Linked DNA regions of Caenorhabditis elegans. The protein of the gene in region 2 interacts with the protein of the main gene of each other region in a pairwise test. Each region holds a gene or a part of one and is shown on either strand. Other genes may lie near its edges. The genes, in order: idpb-4 and mup-2.

Region 1 (7,522 bases), on a different chromosome or scaffold from region 2:
GCCAGGATCTCCAGGAGGAAAGGGAGACGATGGAGAGAGACCATTGGGCCGCCCAGGACCAAGAGGACCACCAGGAGAGGCTGGGCCAGAAGGACCACAGGGACCAACTGGAAGAGATGCTTATCCAGGACAGTCTGGACCACAAGGAGAGCCAGGCCTTCAAGGATATGGAGGAGCTGCTGGAGAGGACGGGTAGGATGAAAAAAATATTAAACGACTTCTTGTAAATATAAAAATTTCAGACCAGAAGGACCACCAGGAGCCCCAGGACTTCCAGGAAAAGATGCCGAATACTGCAAATGCCCAGGAAGAGAAGGAGATGCTGGACGAAGTGCCAGACGTCATCGCAAATTCCAATTGTAGACAAATTCATGACATTTTTCCAAAAAATAAAACATACTTCTCAAAATTTTTTGTTTTGTATTTGGTTTACCATGGATGTTAAGAACTTTCTTGGGGAAAATAATTAAAATACAAAACTGTATAAATTATGTCACAAGCTTGGAAGTGCATTTGCAAAAAAACACTGGTGTAGAAGAACAAGAGGTTAGTATGACTTGAACAGAATAACTAATAGAAATTGGAGAGCATCCTTTTAGAAGGAAAAATGCACGACCTAGAACAGCTATTAATCTGTATTTGGCACTCGATTTATATTGCTAGAAATGGAACCTATTAGTATAAGGAAAAATAAGAGAAAAGGTGAGAAGGTCGGAAAAAACACTTCATGAATATATTTAGACGAGGAAAAAACGAAGGAAATAATGGGAGAGTGACGATAGAAAGAAGGAAAACGTTGAAAACTGAGTCGAAAAGAAAGAAAAGAACGAAGGTGAACAAAAACGACAAAGTTTTGAAAATCATTTCAATTTTCAGATTTCAGTTCAAGACCGAGTAGTTGGAAAACATGTGACCTCAAAAAAAAAAACAAAAAATTTCACTTAAAGGGGAAAGAAGTGAAGTAGAACTTCTGCATAATCATCAAAAGATTCCCGAATAGCTTGGTTCCAAAAGTTCAAACACAAATTACTTTTGGAAACTTTCATTTGTTTTGAACTGTAGCGGCATGTCGATTTTTTTCAAAATACAAATTACAATAGAAAATCAGGAAAACAATTGGAAGTGATTTTGGAAAAAAAAACGTTGAGGAGATTTGAGCACGAGACAAACAATTTCTGTAAATTTCAGTTCAAAAGCTTGAAAACGGTTCTTTCTTGCAAACAAAACCTAGTACCTCTTCACTTTAACATACACTTCACGAACAAGTTTTCTTTTGAAAATAATTTCTGAAAATCACGTTAACGAATCTCAAAATTCAGGAAATGCTCAAAAATGTCTATTTGCGTACTACGAAATTCCCGAAAAAACATCTGTGACTTTTTTCTCTCTTTTTGTTCGAAAAAATAACTTATGTCGCCGTGGTGGTGCCCTCGGGAATCGGAAAGCGTCAATGTTGTGTTTGTTGTTGTTATCCCAAACGAGAAGATGAATAAGAGGAGGAAAGATGAACGGAAAGCGAGAAAAAAAGAAGATGGAACACGTACATGAGCTTCTCCTGCTTTGAATACGAATTCAGTTGGTGCCTGCCCTCTCTTGGCTTGAAACTAGAACCTCTGGAACCTTTTCGAGTCGACACCATCAACCTGCTCATAAAATTCAATGCAAAAGAGAAGTGCGGAGACTGGAGGGAAAGAGATATTGAAAAAGAACTATAAAAACTATAAAGTGCAAAACGAGTAAAAAGAGTGAGAAAAGAAGAATAAACTAAAGAAGCAAAATGTTGGAATCAAGACAAGTTCACTCAACCGAAAATGATCTCTTTTATACTTTTTAGAGTCAAGAAACATGAATCAATGATTCTAAACTTATAGAACCTTTTCCAATAACGATTTTAATCCGAGATGTGGGCAGGGCTTGTTTTTGAAATATTCAGGTTATTTCCTATTTTACTTCAATTTCCTTGTCATTAATCACAACTGCGATTTCAACCACTTATTTAGATCTTTTAAAATTAAGCTTAAAATGACCGATAACAAAAAAAAATGAATTCAAACATGTTTTGGCTTTCTCTAGTAAAAAAAAGTGTACTTTCCGGATATTTTTTTGCAATTTCTTCATGATTTTACTAAGTTGAAAAATAAAGACAACGGTACCACGAGGGTTAAGGCACCTTAAAGTATCTAGTCCGGAGGCCCAAAACTACAAAATTTGGAAACAACATGGTTTTAATTACTTTTGAAAAAACTGAATCAGATAATACTTTTGGTTTCCTATCTTTTTATTTTAAGTATGAAAAACATAAAACAAAAAAGAGTCAAAGAGACACGAAAAGTCGCAAAAAAGAGATCTAGGAAATCGAATAATAATGAAATTTCATATTGCTCTCATGTGTGTGTTTGTGTATTTTTGCTGTGAGCATTGAGAAAATGGGAAGAAACAAAAAAAAAATGAAGAGGAGGTCTTTTTGAAGGACCCCAGTGATGCCAAGAGTCAGTGAATCCAATTAGAATGCCCTCGAGAACATGAAAAGAGGTCCAAAAAATAAACAAATGGTACCGACTTCTGGAGACCCTAATTTGAGAGTGAAATCCTTTTTGCGTATTTTTTGCCTTTAATTCGGAATTTCATCAGTTTTGTTTACCCCCACAGCACAACCGCGTTTTTTTTCAATACCAAAATTACAAAACGCGAATTGCAAATTCAATCATATTTTTTTAAGACTTAAAAATTCTTTTAAAAATTTTCCTCGCAACTGAAATGTAAAAAAACCACCCAACGAAAAAAGTAACGTTTAAATTAGATTCTCGGAGAATGCTTTGATTGGGTGTTTGCATTTGGCGCCGCCAAGGTGTCAACATAACCATTTGCACCTGCCATTATTCCGTAAAAGCTAAGGACAACACAAATTTATTATTATTATTATTATTGGGATAAATATTACTAATTTTAGTAATAAGTTAAGTAGCTGGGTGCCAAAAATAAATAAGAATCAACTGAATTTAACATCTGTCAGCCTTTGAGGACTTTCTCTTGATTCCGAGAGCACGGTTAGCATCATCGATTCTGAGGTTTTGGAGGGAACGACGCTTACGTCCTCCTCCTCCGCATCCACAGCATCCACATCCACATCCACATCCACAACAGCATGGACGACAGCAAGTGCAGCATCTGGTGCAGCAGCAAGTTCTACAGCAGGTACAGCAACGGCGACAGCAGCAGCAGCATCTAGAAGTTTCAGTTAAAGCTTACTATATATTAATAAAATTAAACTATATAATAAAATTGAATTTCCATTTTTAAAAATTCCATGATATGCTCAATCTGGTAAAATTTTTTATAGCTTCAAGTATTTCCAAAACTGGGTACCTTGGTCTACAACAGCAGCATCCACATCCACCACCTCCTCCTCCGCATCCACAACATCCACATCCACAACCGCAGCACCCACATCCTCCTTGTCTTTTCACTCTTGAGCTAGAATTTCCTAGAGTGTCGATGGCAGTTGAAGCTGTTGAAACATCAGTTCCAACAGTTGCCAACTCAGTCGATGATACTGGAAGAACCGCAGATTGAACCTGGAAATATTGAAAAATTGAGAAGATATTAAGTAATTGAAAAATAATTCTCACTTGAGAAACCGCAATAAAAGTTCCGATGGCAAGGAGAATCGCAAGAGTGGAAGTAGTCATTATAAGATTAGGAGTTAATGAGAATGATGTGAGTTTCCAAAGTTCTTCCTCACTTTTATACAGGCTTCATTGCCATTCCGGAAGGGATATTGGCCAACATGTTGCGTAATCGTAATCACTCGCGGAAAACTGTCAAAATGTCTCGATCAATTCAAACAATTTGCATGTTGCTCAACTTTGCTACCCACTGGTGATGGTTGATCACTTGGATCTTGACTGGAATTTAGTTTATTTGAAATGAACTTTCTTAGGTAGGAACATCAACAACTATTGCTTCCATCTTTCTCTTTTTAAACTGATGTTCGGCTTCTTTCTTCCATTTTAGTCTAAAAAGATACCCCATCTCAACCTCAAATCGCAGACTTACAAAAAAATGAAATCACTTTGTACAATAGTTAGCTGATCAAATCACTCAAAGATAGCTCTTGTTTCCGTGCAAAAAAAACTGTGTTTTCATTCATCAACTACTTGTGTCTTCGCACCTTTACTCGTTTGTTTCCGTCAAGTACTCATCTATTTTTATCATATTTACCGCCCACAGGTACATTTTTTGCACATTTGGTGACTCGCCGGAGGTCACACTTTTGTTTTTGGAATGGATATATGACAAGGAGACAGAAGACACAAAAAAATGAATGAAGTGCCAGTGATAGTGAAATGGAGATGATACGTAAAAATGTATGCCAACATAAAATGTATGCCAACTCCGACATACTTAATTGGCAATGATGATGATGTCTCATAATTGATACATTCCGATTGAGGACCGGGACGTCACAATGCCAGTCTTCTATGTTTTTTCTAGGATACGCCCTGACTTGAATGTAGTAGAAGCTCTCAGACAATTATGTTTGCGTATCTTGTTGACAGTTGATCATTTCGGAATATTCAAGCCCTTTGATCAGCAGCCGATCAGTAAACAAAACAAAACACAGCAAAATGATAGAGCTGGGTCATCGAAAATCGCTTATCACTATGTAATACTACTATTGGTTTGTTAAATTGACATTGATCGTTGGTGAGATGTGTTGTGATAAGAAAAGAAAAACAACACTTGTAAAATGGGGATGTTGGTTGATGTCTCTGAGATTCTTGCAAAAAATGTTTATGTTTATGTTGTAACTGTATTGTTGGAATATATTACAAATCTGGAAGATTTCAAAAAAGAATATTCGGAAAAATTGTTTTTAAAATTAAAGGTGGAGTAGCAAAGTTTTGGGACTTTTTCCATTAGACTAAAAATGGGCTACAAAGACTGAAAATTCAATTCTCGTGGGGCATTTTAAATCTAATGAAGCATAATGACTGAAAAAGTACATCACGGTACAATGTACAATGAACATACTTTTTATCAAATGTTCTAAAATCAGTCCGATACTGTAATTTTCATTGTCTTTCTAACAATGAAAATCTGCAACATTCATAAACATGTTATTCTTTTTCTTTTTTAAAAATTTGATAGGTGCAATCATTGATTTGATGAACTCGTTGTAAATATCATAAAAACTGGATATAAAATATGATAAGAAAATGATTTTTATTTGAGAAACTCTTCTTATGTCTTCTTCTTATGCTAGAATATAGTGTTGTTGATATGTAAACTTTTGATTGAATCTTTAATATTATCATCTCATAAACAGGGCTATAAAAGTTCAAAAATATTCGTGATTCCCATAAAATAAATGTTATCAAAATGGGAGTTCGATGTGCACACTCGTGACTTTCAAGAACACAATATTTGATTCAGATCAACTAGAAGTAGAACATTAGTGAAGAACTCGAACTAAATGAGAAACCTAAACTTTTATCTTAACTAGACAAATAAACTGATAGTGATCATGAAAATATTCCCCGAAATTCAAAAATTCTTCCTGTGACACACTCTTCACTTTTTCCCACACTAAACATGTATTTCAAAGACATTCCTGTTCGCGTTCCCGCCATTGTTTTTTGTAAATCCATGACTTGACAAAAAACAGTGCCTTGAGCAAACTTCCGCTGACGTCCGAAATGTGCCAAGTGTTCTTTGTGCTTTACGTTTCATATTTTCTTTGACGAACGTAGAATTTTACTAGAAAATTGGTTCAAAAAGCAAATAAATTTTAATATTAAGGATGAGGATATTTCAGTTCATTTGGCACATTATTTTGTATTTGATCACAAAATTGCTCAAAATAAACCTCGCCCAAAATTTGGTTTGCAATATTGGTTTGAAATATATTTTTGTAAACAGGAAATATATTTTTCTTCAGCGATAGAGACATGGGAAAGAAAATGTACGCTGATGATCTATTAACCAACATCGTATAAAAAGCAAAACTAGTTGTCCGTTTCATTGAAACCAATTCTTTCTTCCCTTGCTTTTTTTTGTCCACAATTGGATTGAGAGACGACAAACCAAATGTATACTGTGTTTTTTGAAAAATATCTTATCAGTAGAGTAAAGGTTGAATGAAAATGTTGTTGATCTGAAAGTTATACATCTGAAATACCGGTTAAAAATTATTTGGATCACTGTAGAGATAATTAGAGAGCAATGTTTAGTGTTTTAACTGGTGTTGTTTATAATATTTGAAAATTCCCAATGATTATAAGTGCCGCAACATTGGCAGTGATCTTGGACTTTAAAAAATCTTTAAAAAAAAATCAAATATTTCCGGTATAGAATTAAAAAATCAATCATGTAGTCAAATAAAATTGATTGTCTTTTTTAGACTGTGACAAAATGATAACGAAACACATTTGTAATCTAGGATGACACCTTTCCATAAATGAAAGGCTATCAAGTTTAAAAATCTGAAACAGGTCTTTATAAATGCATATCATGTTTTTTAATTTGAAAAGTTTGTGGAACTAACCCCTTTTACCGGTTAGTATCTCTCGTTTGTTTTCAAAAAAATAACACAAGGTTGTCATTGAAATATCACTGATGACTGATGATAAACTAAACTTTATGTGGAAAGTCACGTAATCGGGAAACCCCTTTTGCCCCCTGCATGCCCCCTATCACAGTTTTCTTTGAAATCAAGTTATCACCGGAATCCTCTCAATTGTTATCAATGATTTCTTATCAAATTGGCTCTTGAGGAAACCCCCTTTTGCAGCGTAATTTTTTCAACGAAATTTCTCAATTCCGTAAAGATCAAATGAACACTGAACCGAACCCAACGACACAGATCAAAGTTCTGGAGGCGGGTGATGTAATAGAAAACTGAAAGAAAATCATTGGGAAGCAAAAGAGATGGCATCATGAAAAATTGTCGAAAATTGTTAGAAATATGAAGAATGATGGAAAGTTCAAAACTATCTTCAAATAATACAAATCAATCAAAGAAAAAAACTTTCTTGTCGACTTGACTAGAGTATCGTAGGATCAGAAGATCAAATAAATAATTTATTTATTTAAAGGTAGATCGAAAGTAGATCAACACAAATTCTCACTCTTTCTTCACCCCATATAACACTTTTCATATGTAGTTTGTCCCCTATTCAGTTTCCCATAAGATAAATTCAATTTCATCGATTCCCCCAAACCCACTCATTTGCGTTTTGTTTGCCTCTATGTATAGACAGTTCGATTTTTCATTATTCATTAATTTTTTTGATATTTCATTATTTTTATTGTTTGTATTGTTTCGAGATTTCACCTAGACACTAGCTTTTGTAAGTTTACAACATATGTAATTATACCTAGTTCCAATTGAGCAAGACTAAAAGTGTTCCGAGTTAGTTTTCCGACCGTTGTGAAGTTCTATTTTTAACTACTCCTATCTTTTGATCAAAGATACATTTTGCAATCCAAAAAAAAGAGTTCAAATCTTCATTAGATGATG
Region 2 (8,296 bases):
CTCCCCAAACTCTAAAAATTCCCCAGGTCGTTTTCAAAATTGGCCCCAGATGTGTGTCTCGTATCTGTTTTGCTTATTCAAATCTAACCAATAACTTTTATTTTTGAATTTGATAACTTGATTTTGAATTTGATAATGTGTATAATTTTTATCATAGAATGTTTTCAAATGCCTCTCTGATTAGTTTGTTACACACATCAAACTGTGGCGTGTCATGCCGATTTTCTCTCCTACCACAAAAAACTTTGCCCCAGAAATTCATCAACTTTGCTGTTGTAAGCAAATTTTTTCTCACCGCTTTCAAACGATTATTTTTCTCATTAGCTAGATCCCAATTTCTCATATTTTTCCAATTCCGTCTTAGTCCTTTCCTTTTTCAATTTATATTATTCATATATATTTTTTCCGTTGACTCGACTTATTCAAACTTTAATAATAAATATTATAATCAAAATTTGTCTTTCCACGAATTCTTGTTTTAATCTGTTTCATGAAATGCTTACAATTCGAATGGGAATGCAATTTTTATGATAAAGACTTTACTGATAAGCACAAACCGGAGAGTATGCAGAAACAGAGTACTTGAAGAATTGGAGAATTGGTTAATAAATTGGAAACAAATGCAAAAAGTTTTGATTGGAATATTAGAAAATGGATTTTTTTTGGTTGGGATTGGGTTTATTTTAATAAATTTGATAATCAAAAAATTGTGAAATGAAAAAAGGTAAAAAACAGGAAATTTATTCGACAACGACCTCTTCTCCAACATTTGGATCCTCGGTGACTTGTTGTGGCTCGAAGTCATCAGTTGGAACGAAGAGTGGGACTGGCTCGACTGGTGCTCTGGCTCCCTCAACCTTGACCTGCTCAACGTACTTTGGTGGCTCCAAGTTTTTGCGGATCTGCTCGAGTTCTTCGTTTTGCTTGCGTCCCCACTCTGCTGGTGGTCGTCCGGTTCCGCGGACGAGGGAAGCCTGCTTCTCCTCTTCTGGGTTCTCGAACAAGTACCGACGGTCTCCGTAAGATCTTCTGTCGGTTTGACGGTCGAACTTAGAAGCGGTGGTGATCTTTGGTGGATGGACAGAGGAAGCAGCCTCCTCTGGGTCAAGTCCCTTCTTGAGAGCCTTGTTACGGGCGGCTTGACGTTGACGCTCGTGTAACTCTTTCATCTGAAGTAATTGAAATTTGGTTGAATGTCACACACAATATCAAATAAGTCTCATTGAATAGTTTAAACTTACGTCATAGTCTTGACGTTCACGTCTCTTCTCCAAGTCGTACTTCTCAGCCTCGAGCTTGACGATACGAGCATGAAGGCCTCTGATTCTCTCCTTCAAATCGTTTGGAAGAAGTCCAGAGACGTCTTGTACACGGCAGACGGCGGCCAAGAAGTTTCTCTTGGCATCCTCCATCTGTTCCTTGCTCATGACATCCTTTCCTCCCTTAGCCTGAAAGTTTCTTAATTAGTATTCGATTTAAAAATGATACAATAAAAATACCTGAGCCAAGTTTCCGAATTGAGCAGCTTGGTCTCCCTTGGAGGCGACAGTGAAGTTGCGTCCAGCTCCGGCTTCAACTCTTCCGTTGAAAGCTCCAGCCATCATTTGTTGACGACGGACCTTCTCCTCGTTCTTGCGGATCTTCTCGGCATCAGCCTTAGCCTTGCGTTCGTCTTCTTCCTTGCGACGGCGCTCGTCATCTTGACGTCTACGTTCAGCGAACTGACGCTCGTCCTCTTCACGCTCAGCTCGGCGCTTCTCTTGCTTCTCCTTGAGTTCACGAAGCTCTTGTTCGATTTGCTCCTTCTCAAGAACACGGCGCTGCTCGTAATCGAGAAGTTTAGCGGCTTCCTCTTCCTCGTGACGCTTCTTGGCGGCCTAGATATGAATTTGGTTAACAATTTTATGAATGAAACGGAAGGTCTCCCAAGAAGTTATACTCACCAACATGGCAATCTCAGCCTCAGTCATCTCCGCTGGTGGCTTCTCCTCTTGGACTGGAGCACGACGCTCCTTGACCTCTGGTGGAGCGACTACTTCCTCGGTGGTCTCCTCTCTACAATTTCAGTGTTATACAAAAAATCACGAATTCAAAGCTTAAACTTACGGCTCTTCAGCCTCAGCTGGGGCCTCTTCGGTCTCCTCGACCTCCTCCTCCTCGACCTCCTCATCAGAGCTAAAAAATTAAAAATTAGAATGTCTAGAAAAATGATAGGTATATAACTTACTATACCTCCTCCTCGTCGGACATGATTAGTTAGGTTTAGGTTCTGTAATTATATGAAAGTTAAATTCTCAAAATTCAAAATCTCAAAACATATTGATAAGAAGTGATGACACAGAAGAAGAAGGAAATTTGAGTATGTGCCGGTGGGATGTTGAAATCGACAATGAAGAGATATGAAAGTGCTTGCTCCGGGAGGCCGTCGTTGGCAGATAAGTGGGAGGGGCTGGCGGGAGCGGGAGCTCTCAGGGAAAAGAAAAGTATAACATACGGACACAATCTGTGCTGTAAACCTTACACCTACGCAGAGTGAGCAGCCGTGCCCTCCTCGTGTGGCTCTCGTCTTTCTCTCTGCCTGGGGCTTCCCGCGGGCAGTCTGCGTTTCCTCAGAATACGCAGACTTCTGTGATGTGCTATCGTAGAAATAGGGCATCATGTTTCGATCCGAAGGCTCAATATATTTTTGAATCACCAACATTGATTCGAGAAACGGGTTTCTCTGCTTCTCTCTCGATCACCAAGATGTGCACTTCACTATCTCTTCCTCCTACGCTGACACAGACAAGGGACCAACAAGAGACAGATGATGATGAAGAGTTTGGACAAGTTGAAAAAAACAACATAGTTTATACTGGTCAATTGATAAAAATTTCTAACAAGTAGTTAATATGTTTTAGAAATTACTGTGATTTTCCTATTATTCTTGTATCTTCCACTGCACACTAATTCTAATTGGTCAGCTTTAAAATAATAAAAACGCGTTAAATATTTATGTGGTTCAAAAAGTTTTGTTAAAATTTAGGTAAAATACGGTAAACTTATTTTATAATTACGAATTTTCAATGAATCATCACTTTTATTTAAATATTTTAACGCGCAAATGAAAACGTAGTGCTCTTTAAAATTGATCCATTTAAAGTAAACAAATCATTTTAATATTTCTACAAATATTAAATTTCAAAATTCAATGTTTAGAAATCAATGATATTTGTGTAATAGTTTCCAATTTACCGAGGCACCTTGCCAATCGGCTATCATCTTTTTCCAACAAGCTCGTTTCCACCAAAAATCCACTCACAGTGGCCCCTGCAATAAGACAAGCGGGGCGAGCATACGAATAATATTTGGGTGGCACAATTGTAAAAACGCAAAACAATAATACAAATATTCTTTCTTTTCATTTGAATGCAGCTGATGATCTTCGAGACGTTTTCATTCAAATTCTTGTAAGCCAGTGTCAATTGGCCGTCTGGTTCAGTTGCGGGGATCCAATTAAGGGAATTTGAAAAATTGATTCTAAATAATAAATAAAACATTAATTTCAAAGAACATAATAATAAACAAGGCAAAAAAATTACGAAAAGTGTGTTCAATGTGGTGACAACAGTCCACACTAATTAAATTATTGCAAAAAAATAGTGTTATTCTAAGAAATACGAACATCTTTGTGAAATACAAAATAAATGTAGTAATTAATCATCAATTTCAAAACTTTAGTCTAATTAATTTGATATTAACATATGAGATCAAAGATATAGATTACATTTTCGAAAATGTCAAAAAATTACCCTTATTCAGAAAATGTATGTTTTTGACACCTTGTATTTTTCTTGTATTTTATAACATATTTTTTGAAACATTGTATTTTTGGTTTCTAACTAGCAAATTAGTCTATGGTGGAGTAGGGGCAGTGGGGTAATTTTTCTGAACTACCACTCTTATAGTACCAAAACTATCAAATATCATAGTAAAAAGTTTCAAAAACTCTTTGCACATATTCAAAAAATTGACACACAAAAAGTGAAAATTACTAAGTTTTTATCACTTTTTGAGAAAAAATAGCACAGTCGCATGTTCGAGCGAATAAAATGTTTGAATATTATTATTTAAAACATAGGTAGACCATGAAATTTGAAACAATTTTTATTTGGCCATTTTGGCACTATAGATTTTTATCAATTTTCCACAATCGCGCTATTCTACGCTTAATGCCACCGAAAACTTTTAGAATTATTTGTAATTCTGTAGTTAAAAATCTAAGTTTCACTCTGTGAAAATCATTTTGAACTATTTTTTAAGATATTAGATCTATTGATTAGCAATTTTTTAGATTATTTGTTGCTAAAAAGCTGTCATTCGCTAGACTTTAGGAATGAGAATTGGTGTTTCAAAAAATTATGGCTAAAATTAAGTCTTGAAAATATGAGTGTATATCACAAGCAGCTACCGTGTTTTAGCGCGTTTTCCTATTATTCTATAAAACACGTTTCAGAGATGTTTCTGGAAGTATTTTTGGCAACTGGTTGGAATCAAAATCAATTAAAAAATCTGATTTATTCAGAGGGTTTCAGTGACTTTCGACGTTTTTTAACCAGTTTTAAATATTACTCAGGTTATCAATAATCGTTTTATTTAGTTTTTCTTTTTATAGATTCCCAAGTTTACGAAGATATAATCTTAAACTTTAGTCGAGTCATTTTAAAGGGTGTAAATATTTTTTATTTTGCTCAAAGTTTCCAGGTTACTTCAGCTTTTCTATGTAAAATTGTTATTTTCATAAACACTACATTTAATACTTTACTGCACCACATTTAGACCCAAAAGTGACGCCATGCATTTCAACTCAACCCCATTTCTTAGGAGAGAGGCGGGGCCTAGTTCTAAAATTGGTATCTGTGGGTAGCTGTGAACTCGAGTGGGAGCCACACGCCTTTTTCGTCACTTTGACTTGTCCCTCTTGACTTCTATTAAGTTCTTTTTGCACCCAATTTGTTTGGTATTTACTTGACAAGATTTACTATGTCACCTAAATTCATCACACTTCTTCTGATTGCTTGCCTTTTTGCAGGTACGTTTTTCATAGTTTGAAAATGTTTCATACTTTGTTTTACGATACTTTTTTCTCATGCTGCATGTTGTACTTGCAATATTTCAATTTAAAGTATGTGTGTGTGTGGGAGTTAGTTAGTTACTTTGACTTGACAAGTGAAAAGAGTGATGTTGAAATTGAAATATGTAGGAAGTAAAAGTAGTTTAAAGTACCAACAACATATATTTAACACATTAATTTCAGCATTTATAAATATTGTTTAACTTTCAGGAGTATGCAGTAAATTTATCGCAATGATTGACCGAGCAGAAGTTGATCCTGAGGAGACTATAGACTTGGAGGAGGATCGCAAGGTGTGCTTCTGCTGTCGCGCATTCGTCTGCCGCCATCAATTATGTCCTTGTTCGCGGTTCACCGCTCTATTTTGATTTTTTTGTGTTTATTTAAAAATGAAGTGAATTAAAGTGACGTGTTTTTATCCACTCTTTTAACAAATACCGATAAACTTCCACCGAAAAGTAGCGCTTCATGCCTCAAACATGATTGATGGTAGAACAATACTCTGAATTTCTTTGTGTTTCTTCCGCATCTTTTCTTAGCTCCCATCAGTATGTAAACGAGCTTGCGAGGGCCACTTGGGAATCACTGGCAGCGTGATTGAGACACTAAAAACGACGTATTTTCCAGTCCTCGAAGATCCCGTTCTAGATATAAATATGTATTGCGTCATCATTTGAAAATGTTTTTATTTTTTCTGAAAATACATTTAGAAACAAATTGAGATCTGGAATTCGGCGGGACTGAACAAAATTTGAGCATTGTTAGTGTAATGTAGAACTACAAGGAAAGGTTTTCAACCCTCAGACATCAAATCGAAAACGGCTCAGTACCACTCAAAAACTAAAATTTCCGAAATGATAATTTACCCATAAACATCCTTAAATGTCGAAAGTCTGCCAAAACTGGCTGGAAAGTAGAGAAAAAAATTTCAGATCAAAACGGTTGGAGTTCAGAGTGCAGAATGCACATCTCTCGTTTTGATGTCTGTCGGGACGGGAAAATAAAAACCTTTCCTTGTTAGATAAAATCATCGGTAAAAATACATAAAGCTTCAGAAACATTGACAATATTTTGCTGAGCAAGACTCAAGCTACACCCTTCCTCCATGATTTGTCCTGACCAGTTCTACCCCGTCACGGTCACTCTCGTTCACATTTGATGGTATTGGCTGATGTCGATTGATAAGTCCTCTAAGACGAGTTTTCGATGCATCCATCTGCTCTCTAAACAAGAAGTAGAGTGCTCCAATAAATGGAAGTAGGCCACCGAGGAAGAAAAACCAAAAGCCGGATCCGATTTTGTATTTGTACTGAAAATAAAATCGTTTTGAATAACAAGAATTAATTAGCTAGGAAACAGTTAAAATATGTTTTTTGCTTCGTTTTACCAAAATATGTTTCTTTAAACTCAAACTTTCAAATTTCGTCTACACTTTTTTTTTTAGTAAAAAGCTAGGAAATTTCTATAATTTTCTGATATCAATAACGTTTTGATAAATTTGAAGTATCAAAATAATTTATGCGTTCTGTCTTAAAAATGTATGTAGGTTATTGAGTAGTGGAAGAATTCAGCTAAATACAACTTATATATTTGCTTATAATGACCTAGAATTCTCCAATTATTGGTGGGCTGGTAACCTTTCAGACCTTACATCACGTTTTGGTTTTTTTCAATGTTCATTTTTTCGTAGACATTTTTTGTGGGTGAAAAATTATTGATGAAAACAAGAGATTTTGGTAATTTAATAAAGTACTTCAAAATATATTATAACTTTATTTTCCTCAGTATGAAGTTTTTAAAAAAAGTAATCGTAAAAATCATAACGATTTATTTTTATCATATTTGCGTCAGATAACTTCAGCTTATGATTCTAATACACCCTTTCGAAAAAAGACTATTAAATTTGCAAAGAACACTCGTTGCAATACCAAAACACTTAAAAATAATTTTCATAGTACGCTTCGCTGAACAAACAGCTTATTGAATTAAAGGCTAGAAACCCTTCTGCTTCGATTGGAATATATGAAGTAACTTTATACTTTCTTTGAATCATCGTAAAAATCTTACATCTTCTTTTCTCAGAGACAATGGGAGAAGATTATCAGTGTAAGTTTCGTAAAGTACAAGTAGTAGGAGAATAATCCAAAGGCCAACTGCAAAAATAAGCATTAATAGTTTGTAGTCACGTTTTGGAACCGCACCTGGAACGAGCATTGCATGGAAAAATGCGAGTTTTCGCTTTTTTGTCAATTCTGTAAATGACTGGCTACAACAGTGTCCAATGGTATATGCGAGGTAGAAAATTTGAAACGCCAATATGACCAGAGCAATGTGGAATGTCACTCGAACAACTGAAAAATAAATATTTAGTGGAGAAAAATAAACTTATAATATATTTTTAAATAATACCTTTATTTTTTATTACAGCCACATCGAAACACTTTCAACTAAAGTTAAAAAACTTAAAACGTTTGTTTATCGTTTCCTTATTTTCAGATAATTCTTATCGAGATCTGCAATGCAGGCCAAAAAACAATTGGGACGACCTACATGCCTAATTATTGATTGATTTATTTATTTAACTTAACTTAATGTTTAATTATTATGATAAATTATTTTAAATCAATCAAAAAAACAGATTTCCACAATTTCTGGTTTCTAAAAACTTTCGCCGACTCAAATTTGAGCAATTGTTGAAAATGTTAATTTTCGGTTGTTTTGACAGTTTTTGATGATGCCAAAATTGCCAATTTTCATCCGTGACTACATTTTGAAAACAAAAAAGTAAATGTTGGCACAATTTGTCATCTCAGTCGTGTTCCAGAAAACAGATTCAGAAAACTGAGATTTGAGACACATTGAGCTTGAAACGTGAACTTTTTCGTATAGAGAAATTTGGAAATTTTTCATATTTTCGGCAATCGGGAGTTTTGGCAAAATTCAAACAACGTACCAGTTGAAGCGGCCAACACTTTGGTAAACGGATCTGGAAACTTTTCCGCTTTATCTTCAAAATCCCATGGAAGGCAGAAGATGTTCTCGTTTCCTGGTGCATTGTTACGGTAACAATCGTGTCCTCGAATTCCTCTCTGAAATATATTTTTAATTATTCAAGTATAACAACTTAAACACCCTATTCTTCTCAATTGAAATTTAACAAAATTACTTACCTGAAACTCATCG

What was found.
Region 1: the proteins of mup-2 (region 2) and idpb-4 interact in a two-hybrid assay, tested with the Caenorhabditis elegans proteins (one large-scale study listed by BioGRID).

What each region holds. Positions count from the first base shown.
Region 1 is NC_003280.10:8,733,835-8,741,356, forward strand, and holds idpb-4 (Intrinsically Disordered Protein, class B), read right to left. Parts: upstream 3,723-7,522; 5' UTR 3,690-3,722; coding exon 3,630-3,689; intron 3,576-3,629; coding exon 3,367-3,575; intron 3,226-3,366; coding exon 3,000-3,225; 3' UTR 2,892-2,999; downstream 1-2,891. Other genes in the region: Cuticle collagen rol-6, read left to right, coding at 1-192, 243-363.
Region 2 is NC_003284.9:6,407,959-6,416,254, forward strand, and holds mup-2 (Troponin T), read right to left. Parts: upstream 2,270-8,296; 5' UTR 2,251-2,269; coding exon 2,228-2,250; intron 2,176-2,227; coding exon 2,107-2,175; intron 2,056-2,106; coding exon 1,944-2,055; intron 1,878-1,943; coding exon 1,500-1,877; intron 1,449-1,499; coding exon 1,242-1,448; intron 1,170-1,241; coding exon 741-1,169; 3' UTR 513-740; downstream 1-512. Other genes in the region: nssp-78 (Accessory protein 7b), read left to right, coding at 5,023-5,071, 5,324-5,481; T22E5.6 (uncharacterized protein), read right to left, coding at 6,204-6,422, 7,181-7,266, 7,315-7,464, 8,067-8,202, 8,284-8,296. UniProt on the Caenorhabditis elegans protein: Troponin T is the tropomyosin-binding subunit of troponin, the thin filament regulatory complex which confers calcium-sensitivity to muscle actomyosin ATPase activity.